Linked DNA regions of Anolis sagrei. The protein of the gene in region 1 purifies or fractionates together with the protein of each later gene. This does not show direct contact. Links are inferred from orthologs where the notes say so. Each region holds a gene or a part of one and is shown in the gene's direction. Other genes may lie near its edges. The genes, in order: KIF24, CEP97 and CCP110.

Region 1 (7,889 bases):
ATAATATTTATTATTATATAATATTTGTTATTATATTAATCATAACAATATTTTGATAGTTTGATTTTAAACTGCAAGTTTAACCTATGAAATCCAATAATATTTAATATAGAAATAAATACACTAAATAATATTTCATTTATTGCACACTAAATGTGGGATTTTAAGAAAATGACTTAACTCACCCAATCAGGCTGTTTCCTCCTTTAGAGACTAAAAGGAAAGACCTGCACAGAGCCTGACTGCAATGGAGCTTCCTGATTGGTCCACACGCTTGTCAATCTCCGTGTCAACCAGCCCTGCAATCGTTGCATCCAATCAGAATGAGGCAAGACGGTTACCCTAGCAACAGCTGCCCGCCTTTACGTGACAGGGCAGCGAGGGAGGAGCGGTGTATTAAAAACAGAGCTTTGATTAGAGTTCAAACTAAGATTGACAGTCAGATCCACCAATTGGGGGAGCTACGTGGTTGCCCTAGCAACAATTGCCCGCCTTTGACGTGACCGAGCAGCGAGGGCGGAGCGGTGTAGTAAATACAGAGCTTTGATTCGATTTCAAACTAAGATTGACAGGCAGATTCACCAATTGGGGGGAGCTATGTGGTTGCCCTAGCAACAGTTGCCTGCCTTTGACATGACCGAGCAGCGAGGGCGGAGCGGTGTAATAAAAACGGAGCTTTGATTAGATTTCAAACTACGATTGACAGGCGGATCCACCAATCAGAGGGAAAAGGTGAGGTTCTTTCCTTATTGGACGGAGGATGACAAGTCTAGCTAAACTTGAGGGACGGAAGAAGCGAATAAAGGGGCGGGGACTGAGACTTTACGTCCGCTTTCTTGATTGGCCAGACGTAGCCCCGCCCCTTTCGCTTCCTGGATTCCCATTGGGTGGTTTTGTGGACGTCGCCGGCGCGGCGTGCGGGCGCGAGGCTTTGAACGCCACGCTTGGCGGCGTTGCCTTGGAAACGCGCGGCCTAGGCGGCGCCTCTCGAGTTCGCCTCAGTCTTGCTTGTTTGCGGCCTTCCTTCACGTATCTTTGTATTCACAAGTTATTTCGAGCCTGTTTCTTTTTTGTTGACAAGACTAGGCCTCTGCTTTCCTGTCGCCAAGGTGACAAGCCGTTTATGAAGGAAATGAGTGAGAGGTAATACTAAATTGATCTGGATTTATATATATAATTGCTTTTCTTCCAATTTTACCTAGATCATTTGGTTTATAATTATATTACTGAGTTTTTGTTTTATTATACCTCCCCTCTCTTTGTGTGTATATGTGTGTATATGTGTGTGTGTGTGTGTATATAATATTTACATATGCTTTGGTTAGACCACTTTACCTGGAATATTGTGTCCAATTCTGGGCACCACAATTCAAGAGAGATATTGACAAGCTGGAGTGTGTCCAGAGGAGGGCGACTAAAATGATAAAAGGTCTGGAGAACAAGCCCTATGAGGAGCGGCTTAAGAAGCTGGGCATGTTTAGCCTGAAGAAGAGAAGGCTGAGAGGAGATGTGATAGCCATGTATAAATATGTGAGAGGAAGCCACAGGGAGGAGGGAGCAAGCTTGTTTTCTACTTCCCTGGAGACTAGGACGCAAGGGAACAATGGCTTCAAACTACAAGAGAGGAGATTCCATCTGAACATGAGGAAGAACTTCCTGACTGTGAGAGCCGTTCAGCAGTGGAACTCTCTGCCCCAGAGTGTGGTGGAGGCTCCTCCTTTGGAAGCTTTGAAACAGAGGCTGGATGGCCATCTGTCAAGGGTGATTTGAATGCAATATTCCTGCTTCTTGGCAGAATGGGGTTGGACTGGATGGCCCATGAGGTCTCTTCCAACTCTTTGATTCTATTATTCTATTACTCTGTGATATGCACATACACAGAAATAGAATAATATAATGCGTTATATATATGTGTGTGTGTGTTGTTGTTGTTGTTGTTGTTGTTCATTCGTTCAGTCGTTTCCGACTCTTCGTGACCTCATGGACCAGCCCACGCCAGAGCTCCCTGTCGGCAGTCACCATCCCCAGCTCCTTCAAGGTCAGTCCAGTCACTTCAAGGATGCCATCCATCCATCTTGCCCTTGGTCGGCCCCTCTTCCTTTTACCTTTCACTTTCCCCAGCATAATTGTCTTCTCTAGGCTTTGCTGTCTCCTCATGATGTGGCCAAAGGACTTCCACTTTGTCTCTAGTATCTAGTGTGTATATATATATAGAGAGAGAGAGAGAGAGAGAGAGAGAGAGTAAAAGACATTATAAATATACAGAAGGAAATAGCATAATGTAATGTATAATTAATATATATATCGTAAAAATAATCTTAAAAATACAAAGGGAAATAGTATAATAAATGTATAAATATAATGTATAGCTTAAAGAGCTGGGCATGTTTAGCCGGAAGAAGAGAAGGCTGAGAAGAAGTCATAGGGAGGAGGGAGCGAACTTGTTTTCTGCTGCCCTGGAGACTAGGACTTCAAACTACAAGAAAGGAGATTCCATCTGAACATTATGAAGAACTTCCTGACTGTGAGAACTGTTTAGCAGTGGAACTCTCTGCCCCGGAGCGTGGTGGAGGCTCCTTTGGAGACTTTAAACAGAGGCTGGATGCAATTTTCCTGCTTCTTGGCAGAATGGAGTTGGACTGGATGGCCCACCAGGTCTTGTCCAACTCTATTATTCTATGATTTTATGATAACAGGGTTGGTAGGACCATAGCTTTATAAACAAGTATCTTGTTCTCCCAATAGATGTCTCGATCCTCAAACACTCTCTGCTTCATTTGAGAAAATTCTGCATTTGCAAAGCAAAGCAGACAGTGTTGTATTTCAGCGTTGATGTTGACTTTTCTGGAGAGGTGGCTGCCAAGGTAGCGGAAATGGTCAAAGTTTTCTAACGTTACACCATAAAGTTGTATTTCTGGCATTGCAAACGGATTGGCTGGTGCCTTTTGGTGAAATAGCACTTTGGTTTTCTTGGTGTTCAGTGGAAGGCCAAGTTTTTTGTATGCTTCTGCAAAGGTGTTTAGAGTGGCTTGTGTATGTTTTGGGTAGTTGAACTCATCAAGTGCTAGGCCATTTTTGGCAATATATAAATATGTGATAATACTGACAATAGGAGCAATGCATTTGCACTCTCAGTGGTTCACATGTATTTTAGGGCACTTTAGGAGTTAAGTTCTTCCTTAGGAGCTTTGTCAAAAAAGATAATGCACTCAGTTCTCACTTCGAAATCCCTTTAAATAATCCAGTTAAAAGTGTGAGGTGGCATTGGCCTTATAATGCCTTATAATGGAAGATCTGCTCTTTAGTCTATTTCACTCTTCTATTTCACTAGAAGAGATCTTTATATAAGAAAAAGCCAGTCATTAAACTTTAATGCCAGGAATTTGGATTTGGCTAGGAGCCATCACTGCTGTCTTCCTTTCACCTAGTTCCACTCAATAATCCGGTGAATTTTGAACCAAGAGCAGCTATGCCAAATTACCTTCCAAAGAGAAATCTTGTGCAGTGCAGTAATCTAGATGGGATGTCACCAGGCTGTGAAGAATTGTGACCTGGAGGGATACACTGGCCCCACCAGTAGCAGACAAAGTAAGGTGATTGGTACCACGGAAGATGCTAGAATTCAGTGATGCATGGCCATCAATAAAGGCAAACCTGAACTGTGTTAGGGAATCGTGATCCTCCTGTTGTCCTTGGGCTGTAGTTCTCAGAAGTCTTCATGGTCAACTAGGCTGGTTAGAGCTTCTGCAAGTTGCGGGGTATTCATTCCTGCTGCCTCTGAACATTTCTACTGCAGCTCCAGGAAAGACATTAGGCTGGGAGAGAGCACTGAGCAGGTAGAGTACAATGCACCGCCTGCTCATTTTTGGGTGATTCCTCCATCCCAGCAGCTCTGAAAATCCTGCTGTTACAGTGATTGAGAGATGTGGGAGGAAGGAGATCATTCAGAGGAGGAAGTATCTGATCTCAGCTATGGAGAAGGGGCTACAGTGAAAGTGTCCTCCTTTTCCTTGGAGAACAAGAGCCACCAATTCTTCCATATCTGAATTACCCCCTCCCTCCTTGTTATAAAGCATTGGCGGTGTTTCCCTCTTAGGACTTGATAGGTGAAGAGAATTGCCTCTTCCTCCCACCCAAAACAGGTGACATACATGTAGGCCAGACCTATGAATGTGTAAGTCACTAACAGGATGTTTCCCAGGCTATTTCATGGATTTAAATTGTGAATTTCCAGATCCAAGTTGTTTGTTGCCTTTATTGGATTAGGTGCAGACACTGGGTTGCGGTTTGGCCCATATCTTAAGGTCTAAAATGAAGCTTGTCACCCTAGATTCTAAGGTGAGGTTTTGCTGCTGCAAAGCACATAAGCTTTTTATTTTTCTTAAAGTGGGTAGTTCTGCACTACTAATTGGATTGGCACAGACATAAATCCCAGCTCAGGTCTACGCACTGACTTCCTTATGTTTTATTTTACTATTGTTATGTTATGCTGTTGGGCTGGACTCCTCTAAACAGAGATTACTGTGGGGATTACAATGATTACTTGGGAAGAGATTACCTCACTGTTTTCCTATAGTCTTACTGGGCCTTTTACTTTCCATCATAGAGTGATACCTGAGGACCGGTGGAGTCACTACAGTGGCGGGCTAGAAGTAGAGAGATGCTCCTGAAGATTGCAATCCACCATGAAGCAGGGATTTGGACTAGATTGACCCTTTTGGTCCCTTTCAGCTCTCAAGTTCCTAAGACTATTGGCTGACTTTCATCCAGGCATTTTATCTTACTTTACTCACAAGATTTTTCTGAAGCTGACATGGGTGGTAGGAAATGTGGATGCCATTCCAAGCTCCTGGGAGGAAAGAGAGAATAAAAATGTAATAAGTAAGTGCTCATTTCATTGCATTTGCCTAGCTTGTTTCACGTGCAGAATCTTTGCTACACAGACATTTAACACTTGAGCTATTGTGCAGGTGTCAACATTTTAGAATAGATGCAAACAAACTAATTACACTGATGGGGATGTTACAATGTTTGTAGACAATGTATTTTCCAGACAAGACCATGCTGCGGTGAAATTAGCTTCTCTCTGAGTATACAGTTTTCGTACAGTTGGAAATGAAGAGGGCTTCAGAATTATTTTTCATATTTCTATCTGGTTTGGTGTGGAATACCAGTGAGAGTACCAGAATCTCTCTTTTTCTTTATACCTTGAGAGGATCCTTGGCTTTTGGTTCTCCACTTTCCTTGAAATGAGAAGGGAGATTGCAATGAACGAATTGGCGGTCCTGTTCCTTTACTACTTTCATGTAATGTTTTTATGTCTTTGGGGTGCAAATTAGATTCTGAGCTTTTCCACCTTGACTAAACTTTCTTGCAAGGCAGAGCAAAATGCTTTTTGAATCTCTTGAGAAGAGTACTGTTATTCTGTTATTCAGCTTCCAACTGGATTTACTGCAGCGATGGGCTTTCAGCATGCCAAAGGGGCTAATTCTCTGTGTTGAAGAATTTTCACCTCCTTTAGACTCTACAAGATATTAGGAAAGAGTCTCACTGAAACTTCCAAGCAGCAATGTTTCATCCCATAAGTGGTCTGAAAGCAGGATGCACACAGAAAGAGGATGGAAGTGGAGGAGGGAATTAAGTCTAGCAGATGCTGATGCTGCTTCTCTCCCTCTGGGACCAAGACTGTGGCGGTTAGGATGGATGGAGGCCTTAAGCATTATGGACCCATGCCTGATCTTCCTTTTCTTCTGAGGCTTGGGCTATGGCAGTTGGAATTGGGGGGGGGGGGGTTCTTCTCCTCCTGGGCCTAGCATGATGGAGCTGTGCTGCCTGTTCTTTCTGAGCCCACAACAGGGGCAGTTGGTATGAAGGGTGGATGGCCTTTCATTTGCTTGTGGGACATGGAGCTGTGCTTGCATCTCCTTTCCTGGGCCAGGGCTGTGGCAGTTGGAATGGTCGGAAAACCTTTTTAGGGTCTTGGTAGTGAATTGTGTGCTTTACCATACAGTCTTGGTGTTGCATCCTGCTTTTCACTGTAGGCAAAGAAAATGAAATGCAGCAATCAATGAAGTGCAACATGTCCTCCATACTTTCTTGGTTGTTCACTTTCTGGACCTGCCATAGGCATAATTCCCAATGCCATAGCTCAGAGGACATTTTAGGGCTTTGGAATGTCCCTCTCTCAGCTCAAGCTGAAGCAGGAAGCTCTTGGTGAAGTCTAACCACCCCCCTCTGCTTTAACTTGAAAGGCAGAAACTGGTTGCCATGTAACAGAAGCCACTAACACAGCAACCAAAACACAAGGAATGAAGTTGTACCTATGTATATAACAACACATTTCCTTTATATAGAAACAGATTTGCATTTCTGGTGGCATTGCTTACTGGAAAGAATCATGCACAACTTTAAAATAATCACCCACCCAGAATAACAAATTTATTTTATGCATGCACCATGAAAATGAGACGTTTTCATACCCTGCAACAGCTGTTGTCTCAAAGCAGTTGTTGCATCAGTTGTGGTGCGGAGGGTTGTTCAGTGAGATCATCAGCTAAAGTTATAGGGAAAGAGTGATTGGAAAATGGATAAGGATTTACAAGGGAAATGGATTAAATTGGCCAGAAAGGGGATAAATTGACTACATTTTTTGAGTTGAAGGTAGTAAAGGCAAATGTTTATCTGCAAAATTCTAAATACAGCGTGAGCATGAACCACAATAAAATTTTCTGCTTTTTTAAAACAAGTGTTTTCCACCTGCCTTTACAATTTACAGCACTTATGCTGAATGAAAAGACTAAATTAGTATGTGTTGAATTGAGCATGTAACTGAAAAACTTGACGATTTGAATCAGCAGGCACATTCCTTCATTAACTGTAAACAGTATAGTAGGCTGCAAGAAAACCAGAGTAATTCCCTGTGAGCATCAAGTGATAGTCATCTGCACATTAGAAGATCAGTTGTAAACTTGTGATTTGGAGACATGCTTTTCTTCTTCACCCACTTTTGTCCTGTATCACATCTTGTGAGCTCGAGGACATAGAAAGTTATAAAACTATGCCTAGTTTGATGAACGTGGATAGTGAAAACGTAATATTAGAATCTAGGGTCATCTGAAAGGTGGGAAATTCAAGACAGATAAATCAAATGAGTTTTGACCCCATCAGGTGTATACAGGATTGATTCCTCTGCTGTCATTGTCTTGGCTTTCTTCTTCTTCTTCTTCCTAAACATGGCTGCTGAGTTTCTTCTTGTATCCTCACTGAAAATATGTATGACTCTAATACATAGGTTTGCAGTATGAAGTTGCAAATTGAACCCAGTTCTCTCAGTCAGTGAAGGAAGTGTTTTCATGTGTTTGGTCAAATAGGACCAGCCAGCCAGCCATTCAGTTTGACTTTCTTGTTCTACTATGTGATCTCTTAGTTCATGCATGCACATGCAAATACAACAGCTGCTGTTCAAGCCAAAGTTTAAATCTGGGCGACAAATTCCTCCCAGATCCCCACCCATTGCGCCATCATAACTTATGAACCCATTTATTGGGAAGCCTGCTTTGCTGCAGGACTGTATGTTTGGAGGAACTGATACCTTTTAGTCAAAGTATGGAATGGTTACAGCTTTGAACATTGTGTCTCTTTTTTGTATAACTTTTGATATTGTCTCATGAATATATAATCAAATTATGTGGCTTTAACAAATATTGATATGAGCACATTGTTAGTGCCTCTTGTGTGTACCAGCAGGTGGAAAAAGAAGCAGGAATATGGATCTTGGAGGGAGAAACTTCCTGCTGTACTTCCCTTGTTGTATTTGGGAGGAGAAGTTCATAAAATCATAGAAATAGAAGGGACCTCAAGGATCATTGAGTACAATCTCCTGCCATGCA
Region 2 (7,368 bases), on another chromosome or scaffold:
AGAAGCAGCTTGAAACATATTAGCAATGAATAAAAAGAATACAGAGAATGCAAATTTCCACATCAAATTATTACAAAACATATAGGAAACTGGCACTGAACCCTCAATTTTTATATTTGCATATTGTGGGTTGAAAAATCTAGATCTAAGCAGTATGTAATTATTTGTAAATACATTTGGGATTTTTTTAATGGAGAAAAGGAAAAAAGCACATGCAATTTTTAACATAAATCTCTGAAGAAGCATTACCTTTGTTGTGGAAGGTACAGTCTTCTTAGTTGCCTGCTTAGCCTTCTTTGCTTCCTTGGCAGCCCTGTTAATTATAATCACAGCATAACTCAATTCATACAACAAAATAAAGTAAAAGGGCACAGCAGAACATTGCAAGCTGCTGATAAAGCAATCCCATTCTGAACATGCACCAAAAGGAAAATAAACACTAACTAGCATAACTGAGATAGAAGCCAATTAGTGATATTTTGGCACTGATGCTGAAATTCTAAAACTCTTGGAGCCCTTAGAGAACATATTATTGTGGGAAACATCCCTGAATAACCTTCAAGTCTCCATTCAGTTTGTTTAGGTAAGAGAACGGAGAATACTCTTAAGTGCCATGAAACCAGTACAATACGGATACATCTCCCTCTCCATTTCAAACTTGGAAATCAGGCAGTAGAAAGGAAAAGATCCCATTGTATAGGATCACAATAACATTTTTTTACCAAGGCTAGTCAAAAGCTTCAGCATCATTTTAAAAAAATTACATTAATTTCAGTGTATCTTGTTTACACTGAATACAAAGAGGTAGCCATGGAATGGTAAATAAATGCAAACCAAGAAATATGTGGTAACTGCTCACCTAATAGCCTGTTCCCGTTGAGCTTTTCGCACCTCAGGCTTTTGATTCCTCTTGGCCATGATTTCAGCCAAAGAGGCTCCTGTGATGGCTCTATGGCCCTTGACAGCGCGGCGAGTACGTTTCTTTTGTACTTCTTCCTGAAAAATGGAAAAAAAAAAGATGGAACATTAAATACTTTCTGAAGCCATGTGGAAGGAGTAAGTGCAATTTTTTGTAGGCCTCAAAGATTCTGCTCATATTTTAAGTTTCTACTTTCCTAACATACTGTACCTTAAATTAAAAAGCCTTGGTGGAAAAAATGCAACTATATGTGTAGAATATTTTTAGCACCATCTTTGAAAGCTGTTATAATTTTAATCATTTCCAGCAAAACTAAGCAACTACCTATTTAAAATCTTTGCTACAGTATTTATTGTGGAAAAACAAATCACAAAAATACCATCCTTGTTATTTTATATCTGTCTTTTAAAAAACATTTCTATAGTTGCTAAATGCAAACAAATCGGAACTAGGTGAAAAATCGGTGATACAACTCACTTCTATTTTGGTCTAAGCCAGTCCCAGTGTGTTTCTCAATTTTATGCTCTGTCATTTTATCTGATATTTCTAACTTGCTACCTACTTTCAACATTTCAACAAAAATTAAATCAATTTTGGAAAAGCAAACTATAGAGAAACCTCTATATTGCTGGAAGGATAAACATCTTAGTATTATCTGAGGTAAAGTGAGAGTGATTCAATGGCTGCCTTATGTATGAATTGATCAAAACTGAAATCCCTTCAATAGGATGCATAGAAATTCACGGAGCCTAGAACCATGACAATATATATTTAGGTTGTTTGTTCCATTTTTTGAGACGCACACTTAAACTACTTATCTGGAACCAAACCCTAACAAGTTCAACTTATTTGTAAGTAGAAAACATGGGACTGTGCTGAAAAGCCCTTGTTCCTGCTTTTAAAAGCTAACTACAGATGTTTAAGGAAACATCGGCCTATTAGTGCTAAACCGTTCTTCGAGTATTTCCAAACTATACTTGTCAACCTATACACATGCACTTCTGTCCTTTTCAAAAGCAGTTCAAGGGAAGCATAAATGTCAACAAAATGCTAAAACCAGTTCTCTAGGAAAGGGATTATGAAAGATTAAAGCCTCTATCTTAACAGATCATGCTACATCCCTGGATACAATACAACACAAGAAATATTTAAAAAGTTAAACCAAAATAGTAATTTGTAATTTATTAATGCCATTTAATAAAGCAATACTGTAAGTGATTAGAAATGCAATGCAACTATGATAATTTTTCAATTTCAAAGACTCAACAAAGATATTACAACATATTTACCGACTGCCCTTTCTTGTGCTTCCGCCTGTATAGAACAGTCCAGTTGATCTGGCGGGGGTTTCTCTTTGAGAGGAAGGCAGACTCACATTTTGCATTCAAAAACTGGAAAACCTGGAACATCAGATGATTTTTTAGTCAAGTTTGGAAACATCTAACCACAGACACAGCTCATATTACCATAAAAGTTCAAATACTGTCAAATTAAGTTCTTTCTGATAAATCATGTAAGCCACTTGTATGCCCCATTAAAAACCTTACAGGTCCACACCAGCTTCTATCACATATGTAAACTTTGTGTATGGTGAGAGATGGACTAGAAAGCTCTTTCACAGGATCTAAAATATTATAAATCCAAAAAATGCAGTGACGCTAAGGTCTCAGATTACTGGAACCACTACAGGATGAATACCACTTCAGTGCTCCAAAATGCAGTAGGTGGCTGAGATACTGGGTGCATCTACAAATTGACACTTTTAAGAGCTTTGGCTCAATGCTGTGGGATCCTGGGATTTGTAGTCTGAGAGCACAGCACACTTTGCAGAAACAGCTTGTAAAACTACAACTCCCATGACTCCACAGCATCATGGCATGGCATTGAAATCGTGTCAAACTATGTAGACGCACCCAATAACAATTTCAGGATGATTTTATTTATATCATTTCATGCACACAGTGCTGCACAGCCTCTTAAACCACTCAGCTACTGAACTTGCTGATCGAAAGGTTGGCAATTCAAATCTGTGGAGCCGGGTGTGCTCACACTGTTAGGCCCAGCTTCTGCCAATCTAGCAGTTTGAAAAAATGCAAATATGAATAGATCAGGAATGGGAAAACTTTGGCCCTCTAGGTGTTTTGGAGTTCAACTGGCTGTTATGAATTGTAGGAGTCAAAGTCCAAAACACCCAGAGGGCCGAAGTTTTCCCATGCCTGGAATAGATCAAGAGGTACCACTTCAGCGGGAAGGTAACGGCACTTCATGCAGTTATGCCGACCACAAGACCTTGGAGGTGTCTACGGACAACGCCAACTCTTCGGCTTAGAAATTGAGATGAGCACCACACCCCAGAGTCAGACACGACTGGACTTAATGTCAAGGGGAAACCCTTACCTTTACTTATTTCATGCACAAAAACTACTCTAATTAGAATTAATTTTAGGCTCTGTGTCAGAAGTGTATATGAAACACAACTGGACCCTCATCTTTTGATTTGGACCCCATCTCCAAAGTATCTCTTTATGTAAATACAGCAGTCTCGCTTATCCAACATAAACGGGGCAGCAGACCATTGGATAAGCGAAAATGTTGAATAAGTCGGGATCAAGGAAAAGCCTATTAAATGTTGAATTATGTTATGATTTTACAAATTAAGCACCAAAAATATGTTTTATAACAAATCAACTGAAAAAGCTGTTCAATACATGGTAACATAATATAGTAATTACTGTATTTACGAATTAGCACCAAAACATCACAATATATTGAAACAACTGTGGATCTCGGTGGGAGACTTAACAGTGTTGGATAATGCAGAACACTGGATGAGCGAAGGTTGGATAAGCGAGACTCTACTACAGGCATCCTCAAACTGCGGCCCTCCAACTCCCAATTCCCTAACGAGCTTGTTCAATGGTCAGGAATTCTGGGAGTTGGAGGCCCAAACAGTTTGAGGATGCCTGCTCTACTGTATTAAGGGTGCAGGGAACTCTAGGACCAGGCCCCAGAGGATAACAAGGCCCCATTGTATGATTTCGTCGGCTCCTTGGCCCATCTTTTCTCTTGCCTTGCCATCTGTCCTCGCGTAGCGTCGGCCGTGGCCCGGGTAGATCTTGTACCCACTGAAGCTGCATAGCTCGACCCTGAAGCGCGAGAAAGGAAGAATGGGGAAGCGTCAGCGAGCGACAAAGCGCGGAACTCACAACCTTTCCCGCCCCACCGAGCCCCCAAACCGGAGGATGGCGCCGGATTAAACACCGCCTCATCCCGGTTCCTTACTTCATGATGGCAGCCGGCTCGCCTCGGAGGCAACTCCAGCGGCGAAGAGAAAGAGAGGATCATGGGAAAACGCCTTCTTATACTCCCCGCGCGGGGCACGACGGGAAACAAGGAGGTGCTCATTAATAGCCGGAAATATTTTTTTTCCGCCGAGTGGATTTGACCAATCAGCGTCCGGCGCCGGCGCGGTTGCCTAGCGTTGGGAGCAAGCGGGAAATATGGCGGCGGCGACCGAAGGGAAGAGGCCTGAGGCGTCGAAGGCAAGAATGAGCGGCAAGGAAGGTGCGCCTCTCGGTTCAGGATTGTGTGCTGTCGCTTTGCGAGGAAGGCAAAGCGGGGAAAGGCGGCAAAAAGTACCCCGGCAGGGCTGTTTGGCTTTTCAGCAGGTCCCCCCGCGGGGCCTTGTGGGAGTTGTAGTCTTTGTCCTCGCTCAACTTGGTTGGCGTGTTAAGTGTGTTGTTAGGGCTGGACTACAAATCCCAAAAGATCTTGCGCAAGGCCGTTGTCTTTCTCTGCTTTGAGAGGATTAGGAATAATGTGACAAAGGCAATTTGGAAGGAGAACAAGGAAGCTCTGTCTGCTGTGAGGGGGGGGAAAGCAAAGCCCCTTTGTCTCTAAATCTTCCTTCCTTTGCGGCTTCTCTCTATTCGTGCATATAAAGTGGATTTCTAATGGCAGGTGCGGTCGACCATATAAGTGTAACAGACAGTGGTTGGGAGGTGTTTCTGTCATTCCTTTTTAAAAATATCTAGCTGTTTACCCCTCTGTATGATGATCCTGATACTGGAGGTAAATGGGGTGGTTAGAATGAGGAACATTTCTGTGGAACAGGCTCTTTATCTGACTTATTTCTGCTTTGAGTGCCAAGACTGAGGCCTTCTACTATTATAGTAATAACAATAGAGCTTTGAATACTTGGAAAAATGCAGAAATGTCTGTATTTGAATGTTAGGCAGTCTTGAGGAATCAAACCAAAAATCTTGAGCAACTTTTTCGCAAAGAAACAACCTGTCTTCGCAGAGAATGGTGTTGCAGAAAATGCAGGTTTTGGGTTGTGAGTTTTCTGGGCTGTATGGCCATGTTCCAGAAGCATTCTCTCCTGACGGTTTGCCCATATCTATGGCAGGCATCCTCAGAGGTTGTGAGGTTTGTTGGGAACTAGGCAAGTGGGTTTTATATATCTGTGGGAGAAAGAACTCTTGTCTGTTTGAGGCAAGTGTGAATGCTACAATTGGCCACATTGATTAGCATTTAATGGCCTTGCATCTTCAAAGCTTTGGCCGCTTCCTGCCTGGGGGAATCCTTTGTTGGGAGGTGATTGCCTGGTTCTGTTTCTTGTCTGGGATTTCAATTGAAATCCCCAATCATCTGGACAATTTCAACAAAAAGGAAGAAACCACGGAAATGAAAAAACAAAAACTGGCTTCCAATATTAAAGAAACTCCAAAATCAAGAACAACACTCAGAAACAGGGGAATTCCAGACAAGAAATAATCAGGGCCAGTTAATTCTACTATACCACTGTTCTGCAAAATTATTAGTAATATTACATGAAATATACAATGGAATGCAGTATAATTTTATTGTAAAATAAATTGTGTTATAAAATAGTAAGGACAACGGAGTGTGTTTGAACATGCACAGAGTACCCATCCTCAGCTTCTGAACATTGAGATGTAGCCTTTTCCCTAAAAATATTAGAATTGGGGATAAAGTCAAAAGGTGTGGCTTTCTACCAGGTTTGGAGCATAAGCAGAGGCTTTTGGTTAAAAACTATATGAAGCATGCTGATCTGTGATTTAATTTTGCACTATTTGTTTCTAAAAATCCTCAATGCTTAGGAATGTGAAGTTATCAACCTATTTGCTACTATTCTCTATTCATAGAATAAACCATAAAGTTCAGTCCTATGCATGCCCATTGCCCACATAGGGCACATCTGCACTAACTATTCAATACAGTTTCAAATTGTTCTTCAAGAAAATGATTTCGGTGTACAGGAGATTATAAGAAGAGTGGAGGCCTTTAAAAGTGTTGTCAGGGGTTTTTTTTCTGCTGTCAGAAATTTAGAGACCCTTCCTTGACTCTCTAGGCCCCAGGTTTCTCATTTTAGTAAAATAAGCTTTCAGGTATGAAGAAAACTTATGGTATGTTTTGGTTATAAGAAGAAGAAAAAAAACCCTCTCAAGCTTATGTTTTAATCTGTATTGCAGTTTTGTATGTTTTTAACTGTTTATATGTTTTAGCTGTTTTATAATTTAATATGGTATGTTTATTGTTATGTGCATGATATTGCATTGAATTTTTGCCATAGTTTGTAGTACCCTTCGGGGTGAGAAGAACAGGGTAGAAATGGAGTAAAAAATAACATATTGTACTACATTTTCATATCAAAATTTAATAAACACCTTACTATCTCCAAGGAATGCATTCAGAACCACTTTACCATGGTAGATTAGCAACAGTGGCAACAACAGTTGGGTGGGGCTGTTCTGCAATAACAACAGCGAGAAACAAGTAGGAGAAGACAGGTATAGACCTTACTTTATTATGAAACTTTTCCTTGGTGTGTATTGAACACTCTTTGTCAGGAATATGAGACATTTCAAAGCACCTGGTGCATGTCACATATGCCGAATGTCATCTCAAAAAAACTCCTTAACTAAATAGCTGAATGGCACCATGTTGGTGAAGCATCGTTTGACTTAAAAGTTCCACCAAATGAGTTGACATTCCAGAAAGGCAGACAGTTGAATGAGCCAGACCAAACACAAACCATTTTTAGGTGTTAGAATCTGGGAAGCAGGTGACATGTGTTTTTTAACACTGGTGCATGCAACAGTATGTAACATGACCATTTTTGAGACTGATACACTTTGATCTTTCCTCTATTCTCATAGGTTCATTAGTTAATTGGTCAGGTCAGGGTTTACAAAAGTTGGGACCCACTTTATCCTGCGATGCTGATGCACATACTTTGGTTCTGGATAAAAACCAGCTAACTAAATTGGAGCACCTGGAGAATTTCAGGAACCTGCTACAGGTTAGTTGTCTCTGTGATAGAAACATGCCATTAGCCTTTTTACAGTTGCACCCCCAATGTTTTGGTATATGTTCTTTTTGTAGATTTTCAGTAAGTTTCATATTGAAGCTATGCCAACTTTAAT
Region 3 (7,433 bases), on another chromosome or scaffold:
TACTCAGTGTCTCAATAAAGGCATCAACAATTTTTCAAGAAAATTCTCCATCTTGTACAACGTTAAGTGAGCTCTACCATGTGAGGTCCAACAAGCACATGAGGTTTAAAGCATTCTAACAAAGAGGTACCTGATCAGCATGGCCTTTAACATCAAAGTAGATGATAAGGTCATAATGCATACTTTCCAAAACAGCTTCTTTCAGTGTCGGTATTTTCTCTCCACGATAATCCCTCCTGTAAGAAAAAAAAGTTGAATATTTCAGTAATGTGCATTCATAGAATCATTGAATTGTAGAGTTGAGAGAGACCTCGTGGGCTATCCAGTCCAAACCCCTGCCAAGAAGCAAGAAAATGTCCGGTCCAAAAAAAGGAACAATGCTTCACTGAATTGCCATGATGCATCTAAAAATACACTCCACAAAAACCACGGGAAGAATCTTCAAGCTCTCAAGGACAGCCTCCTCGCCCTGACAAACAATATTATCTCGTTTGTGTACAAGGATACATCTTATAGTTATTTATTCTGAGATGGACAACAGATCTGACTTTAAGCAGAAATAGTTTATATTTCACCCTTTCTTCAAGGCCTAAGTCAGAAATAACTTGAAGGCAGACAACAATTTTCCAAGATATGAATGGTGGTGTTCTATACATTTTTCACATACCATAATCTGTGCTTAGCGCATGGATTGTATCGCCGAATCTCAGCAAACGTCAAATCACGTAAATTTCCAGACCCGTCCGTAGTTCTGTCTACGGTGCTGTCATGCATCAGGACAGGAATGCCGTCGGCAGTGAATTCGAGATCAATTTCCACACCAGTTGCTCCATTCTCAGCTGCCTTAATAAAAAAATAAAACCTGCTTTAATCATGAACAAGGATATGAATGCATGATTTACATTTTAATTTACATCTGGATAGCATGACACTGGAAATGATGCAAATGAACAAATGACCTATCTATGCCAATGCCATCAATCAAACGATTTCTCTAATCAGGACAGGCCTACCAAACGGTTTGGTGCTGGTTCATGTCCTCCATGGAGACTGGGATTGTGAAGACAGTGTTATGGATGCATGCAATAAATAAATAAATGAGGGCAGGATAGTTGTTGCGTATCTCAAAACTGCTTAGGCTCATCCATACTTTGAAATTACGGTAATTGTGAGGCCCGACAGGATCTATACAAGGTACAGAAATGATGGGGAAGTGGTAAAATGCAATTTTACTGACTGTATCTGTGCCTAGTTTGGTAACTGCACAGTGGCAGATAGGAAGGCGATCCAAAGGGTCACCACTTCTGTACAGAGAATCATTGGTTGCCCTCTTTCCCCCCTCTTTGGAAGAACCTTATAAGTCCCACAGTCTTAAGAAAGCTCAGAGCATTCTTAAGGATCCATCTCACCCTTGATATTCTTTTTTTGTAACTCAAATGCCAACAGGGCTCTTCCCTCCTCCCACTCATTCTTCCTTTCCCTTCTTTTTCTCTTTCCTTTCCTTCCTTCCTTCCCCTCCTCGTTCTCCCTTCTCCAACTATGAAGGGGGCCTCCCTCATAATGTCTTCATGGCAACAGTGCTCTCTTGGTGGCTTTTTCTTCATTCCTGTTTATACACACACACAAGCCATCCCCTTCCACATGCTGTGGCCCAGTCTCTGTATATGTGTTTAGTGTGTGTATATATGTGTGTGTATATATATAAGTGCATATATGTGTGTACATGCAGATTGTGTATATGTGTGTGCTTGTCTATATGCATATTTGTGTGTATATATGTATGTATGCGGATATGTATATGTGTGTGCATGTATATGTAGATGTGTATATGTATGTATGTGTGTATGTATATGTATGTGTGTATATGGGTATCTTTGTGTGTGTTTGTGCATATATATTACGTGAATGTGTGTGTGAATGTGTGCATGTACATATGTATGAGTGTTATGTGTATTCGTATATATGGTGTTTTCTTTTGGATTTTTAAGTCTGTTCCTCTGGGGTTTTTTTGTGTGCGTGTGTGTTTATGGGTGATGGACACTCATTTGACTGTTAGGTATATTGTGTTCAAATTTTGTGTCAATTCGTCAAGTGGTTTTTGAGTTATGTTAATCCCACAAACAAACATTACATTTTTATTTATATAGATGTAAAAGGTTCGTTGTGGTGGTGGTGATTGGCATATTTCATCAATTCTAAGGCACCATCGATTCTGAGATGCATACTATTTTCAATTGTGAATTTTTTTAATGCTATTTGTATTGAATTCTGTTTCAATGTCTGTATATTTTAAATTGTCTACTAATGCTTTAATGTCAAGCTGCTTTGAGTCCCCTTTGGGGAGATAAAGCGGAGTATAAATAAATATAATAACAACAAAATATTTCCAGTTCCATCAACAGAAAAACAAGCTATGTGTATGTCTCAGATTCTATCCCATTTTTTGAGGTGTTTATATGAAAGGGGAAAGTGTGTTTTAGTCTTATATTTGTATTCCCCTTTTTTTCTCTGGATCTAGATCTAAAGCAACGTTTGCATGATTGAATCGGCTCATTATAAAGATCCGAAAACAACTGTTAATAGATATGCAAACACATATTTAAAAGTGAAATATTGCATTCATAAAAAAACCCAAGTCAATAGTAATAACAGTTACGGCAGAGACCTGAGATAAGAGAATTGCAGGGCCGGGTGGCAACATGTCAGAGGGCCACTTCCCCTAGCAACAGCCATTCCAGCCATTCGTAGAGGGACACGTCACCTAGCAACAGCCTTTGTGGTGCTGACGGATAGACTTTGGTCCATGTTATACAGCAGGCATGGGTCAACTTCGGCCCTCCCCCCAGGTGTTTTGGAATTCAACTCCCACTATTCCTAACAGCCTGCCGGCTACAGCTGACCGCATCTCCATCTACGAACCCACACACTCTTTCCGTTCATCTGGAGAGGCCCTGCTCGTGATCCCACCTGAGTCGCAAGCGCGTTTGGTGGAGACACGAGACAGGGCCTTTTCCGTGGTGCCCCCCCCCCGACTCTGGAACACCCTCCCCAAAGATCTTAGACAGGCCCCTACATTGGCAGCCTTCAGAAAGAACTTGAAGACCTGGCTGTTCCGAAGTGCCTTTCCCGAATAGGAAACCTCCATTACCAAGTCCCACAAGCACTTTATTAAAGCCAAGACCGCCGCACACTGCACACTGCACACGCCCATAAGCCTCATTTCCACCTGTCACATCAGCCCTTTTAACCCTTGTACCCTTACTCTGGCCCGGCCCAGTTTTATTGTGCCTTAGTGGATTGTTCTTTGCTTGTTGTTTTAGATGGCTTTAATTGTTTTAACTTGCCTAGGTTTTGTATTGTTGTATTGTTTGTTGAGGCCTTGGCCTTTGTAAGCCGCATCGAGTCCTGCGGGAGATGCTAGCGGGGTACAAATAAAGTTTAATAATAATAATACTAATAATAATAATACAGGTCGGCCCTGGCCTGAAGGCGCCTGCTGCCTGACCCACCGACCTGCCTGATGGCGGCGAGGGTGTTCTCGGGCGCGTCGTGCCCTCCTCCGCGGTGGGCCACGCGGGCCGGGTTCCCTCGGGGCTGCACCACCAGCCGGGCCCGCTCCAAGGGGACGGGCTCCAAGCTGAAGAGCCGCAGCGCCAGGTAGGCCCCGCCCGTCAGGAGGCAGGACAGCGTCGCGCTCCGGCTCAGCGCCAGCGCCGCCATTAACAGCACCGAGAAGGCCGCCAACAGGCCCTCGCAGTAGCAGAACATGGCGGCGGCGGCGGCGGCAGGAGCGCCGGGGAGACTTGCTTCTCCCCGCGCGGCCGCGGAGGCGACTGAGGCGAACCCGGAAGTGATCCGCCGCCAACACACAATCGCAGCGGCGCGAGGGCCTCAGCCAATCACCGCGCGGCGCCATGCCGGCGACCGCCAATCATCACGTAGCGTCTCCCAATCGCTGCCGACCTCAGCCAATAAAGAACCGAGCTCTGAGGCGTGTCTCTCTTCAATCCATTTGAACCTGCTTCCCACCTCAGCCGTCATCGCTTACCCTCGAGACTTCAACTACCAGAATTCCTCGCTGTTCGCGAAGCTGGCGAAGGCTTCTGGGAGTTGAAGTCCCAAGAGCCAGCCAATCGCCGCGCGGCGCCCCTTCCGTCCTCAGCCAATAGGGAGCCGAGCTTTCGGGCGCGTCTCCCTTCATTATTATTTGCTATTTTTTCATATTACTTCATATTGTTATCACACACTATCATTATCATTAGCTATTTTTTATGTTTCTTAATATTACCATTTGCTCTTTTCAGATCATATTATGATGTTATTTTGCTATCTTTTTATATTGTTATAATCTGATATTTTTCATATCACTGATACTACTACTACTACTACTACTACTACTCCTATTTTATTAGCAACGGTTCAGGCCAAGTTCATGGCGGTAGAGTAAGCCCCAAGGCGCACTGCAGCGTCATCTTGCCACAAACTACAACTCCCAGCAGGCCATCGCGCTTAAGGCGGAAGAAGCGGAGCTTCCCTTTCCCGACTTCCGGTTTCGGTAACCTAGAGACAAGGCGCGAGGAGCAGAAACCAGGAAGGCGGGGAGAGCGAGCGACGCCCTCACGGTGAGTGGCCCTAGACACGAAGGAAGGAGCTTTGACGAGACGAGGTACATGGCGGAACCGTTTCAGAGCTAACGATACATGCTTTTAGAAGAAAATGAAGATGACGGGCTGCTCGTGGCGTGTGCAAAGAACGGAGGAACTTCTAGGCCCAAATGGAGGTTTCAGCCTCCTATTCGATGAGGATACCTAATAATATAAACGCCGGGCCCCTTTTTTATCCTTTTGGAATCATGAATATTAGAAGTAGCAGTTGTTTGGTTGGGGCTTTTTGTGAATCACACTGGTTTTTGTGCCTGGGTGATCAATGTCTAATTGGAAATAGTAATTCCCTTGGGTTGCTGTGAGTTTGTCGGGCTGTCAGGCCATGTTCCAATAGCTTTCTCTCCTGACGTTGTGCCTGCATCTGTGGCTAATGCACACTCGGAGGCAGGTGCAGTGTATCTATATCTGTGGAATCATGTCCACGGTGGGAGGAAGAGCCTTTGTCCGCTTGAAGCAAGTGTGAATGTTGCAATTAGCCAGTTTTGATTAGCATTGAAAAGCCTTGCACCTGCAAAGCCTGGTAGTTGTTGCCCGAGGACATTCTCTGTTTGTGAGGTATTAACTGGCACTTACAGGAGCCCCCGGTGGTGCAGTGGGTTAAACCCCTGTGCTGGCAGGACTGAAGACCGACAGGTTCGAATCCAGGGAGCGTGGATGAGCTCCCTTTATCAGCTCCAGCTCCTCATGTGGGGACATGAGAGAAGCCTCCCACAAGGATGGCAATAACATCAAAACATCCGGGCATCCCCTGGGCAACATCCTTGCAGACAGCCAGTTCTCTCACACCAGAAGCGACTTGCAGTTTCTCAAGTCACTACTGACACGACAAAAAACCCCCAAAAAACTGGCACTTGATTGTTTGCTGTCTGGAGTCCCCCTGTTTTTTAAAAAGTTATTCTTTATTTACTGTCTTGATTCTGGTGTTTTTTCAATACTGGTAACCAGAATTTGTTCATTTTCATGGTTTCCTCCTTTCTGTTGAAATTGTCCATGTGTTTATTGTGGATTTCAGTGGCTTCTCTGCGTAGTCCGACATGGTGGTTGTCAGCGTGGCACAGCATTTCTGTGTTCTCAGATTACATTTATGTCCAGGTTGGTTCATCACATGCTCTGCTATGGCTGTCTTCTCTGGTGGAATTAGTCTGCAGTGCCTTTTGTGTTCCTTGATTCGTGTCTGAGTAATGCTGCTGTGTTTGGAGGTCTCTATGTAGACTTCATGGGGCTGTGATGGCGCAGCAGGTCAAACCGCTAAGCTGCAGAACTTGCTGACAAGAAGGTTGGTGGTTCGAATCCATGGATCAAGTGAGCTCTCGTTGTTAGCCTCAGCTTCTGCCAACATAGCAATTTAAAAACTTGCAAATGTGAGTAGATTAATAGGTACAGCTCCGAAGGGAGGGTAACGACACTCCATGCAGTCATGCCAGCCACGTGATCTTGGAAGCGTCTAGAGAATGCCGGCTTAGAAATGGAGATGAGCACCACCCCCCAGAGTCAGACTCGACTAGACTTAATGTCAGGGGAAACGTTTACCATTACTATGTAGACTTTTTGTCCACACCTGCTTGGTATGCAATAGACTCCTGCAGTGGTGAGAGGATCACTCTTTTCCTTTGCTGAACATACCAGTCCATGTAGGGCTTTAAAGGTCAATACCAACACTTTGTACTTTGCCCAGAAACTAATTGGCAGCCTGTGGAGTGACTTTAGGATAAGTGTAATATGCTCACCTCTGTTTTGTCTGGATTCAGTTTCAGTTTGTTTTTCCTCATCCAGCCCATTACCTCCTCCAGGCATTCATTCAGAGGAGACACGCTATCCTTAGCTGAAGCTCTTTTGGAGGGCATGGAGAAATATATTTGGGTGTCCTCAGCATGCTGATAACACCCCACCACATGCCTATGGATGATCTTTCCCAGTGGCTTCATGCAAATATTAAAGAGCATTGGGAATAGAATGAGCCCTTGTGGGACGCCAGAAAACTGCTCCTTTTTTGGGAGAAGCAGCTATCCCCAAGCTCCACCATCTGGAACCTGCCTGAGAGGAACAATCGGAACCACTGCAGCACCTTGCCTCTGATGGATTCCCAGGCGTTCCAGAAGAATACCCTGGTTGATGGTATCAAAGGCCGCTGAGAGATCTTAGAAGCACCAACAGGGACGCAAATGCCTTGTCAGTGTTGAGACTGTGATCATCCAGTAAGGCAACCATAGCAGTCTCAACATGATTTATATTTGCATATAGACCACTTTTCCGTAGCTTTCTAGGAGCTGATGTGGCATTTGGGAGTGTGCGATAGTGATTAGAATGTGGAAGGATGGGTGTCTTGTTTTGTAATTCTACATATATAATGTGCATTGGGGATGGCATTTAATTTTGTTGTACGATGTACAATGACAACAAAGTTATTCTATTCTATTCTTTGGGTGATAACCATCAAAATTGTTCCAACTCCAAAGATAGCTGGCATCGAATGTCTCGGTGCGGTCTTGGCCAGTAGGGAATCCTTAGCCATTCTTGTCGTTTACCGTGCACCGGGGTCACTGGGAGAGAGTCTGCTTAAGCTATTAGATCTTGTTGCGGACTGGGCCCTGAGTTTCCCCAGACTTATTGTCCTGGGTGACTTCAATGTACATGCCGAGGCACCGTCATCCTCATCAGTAACTAAGGACCTAGTACTAACCTTGGAAACTTTGGGGCTCTCATTAATCAAGACTCGCCCCACTCATCGGGCCGGCCATACTTTAGACCTGATTTTCTATATTGGAGTAC

The links.
Region 2: the proteins of KIF24 (region 1) and CEP97 purify together in Homo sapiens (co-immunoprecipitation; 4 studies listed by BioGRID and IntAct, with this or other methods). This does not show direct contact. The link is inferred for Anolis sagrei from reciprocal best matches to the Homo sapiens genes KIF24 and CEP97.
Region 3: the proteins of KIF24 (region 1) and CCP110 purify together in Homo sapiens (co-immunoprecipitation; 4 studies listed by BioGRID and IntAct, with this or other methods). This does not show direct contact. The link is inferred for Anolis sagrei from reciprocal best matches to the Homo sapiens genes KIF24 and CCP110.

The regions. Positions count from the first base shown.
Region 1 is NC_090022.1:298,187,417-298,195,305, reverse strand, and holds the start of KIF24 (kinesin-like protein KIF24), read left to right. Parts: upstream 1-4,826; 5' UTR 4,827-4,881; intron 4,882-7,889. UniProt on the Homo sapiens protein: Microtubule-dependent motor protein that acts as a negative regulator of ciliogenesis by mediating recruitment of CCP110 to mother centriole in cycling cells, leading to restrict nucleation of cilia at centrioles.
Region 2 is NC_090023.1:43,163,174-43,170,541, forward strand, and holds the start of CEP97 (centrosomal protein of 97 kDa), read left to right. Parts: upstream 1-4,360; 5' UTR 4,361-4,419; coding exon 4,420-4,483; intron 4,484-4,610; exon of another isoform or gene 4,611-4,872; coding exon of another isoform or gene 4,873-4,879; intron 4,880-7,101; coding exon 7,102-7,244; intron 7,245-7,368. Other genes in the region: RPL24 (large ribosomal subunit protein eL24), read right to left, coding at 250-313, 860-996, 2,209-2,319, 3,990-4,065, 4,202-4,206. UniProt on the Homo sapiens protein: Acts as a key negative regulator of ciliogenesis in collaboration with CCP110 by capping the mother centriole thereby preventing cilia formation. Required for recruitment of CCP110 to the centrosome.
Region 3 is NC_090034.1:25,650,457-25,657,889, forward strand, and holds the start of CCP110 (centriolar coiled-coil protein of 110 kDa), read left to right. Parts: upstream 1-4,384; 5' UTR 4,385-4,622; exon of another isoform or gene 4,623-4,666; intron 4,667-5,575; exon of another isoform or gene 5,576-5,966; intron 5,967-7,433. Other genes in the region: GDE1 (glycerophosphodiester phosphodiesterase 1), read right to left, coding at 131-236, 668-843, 3,514-3,768.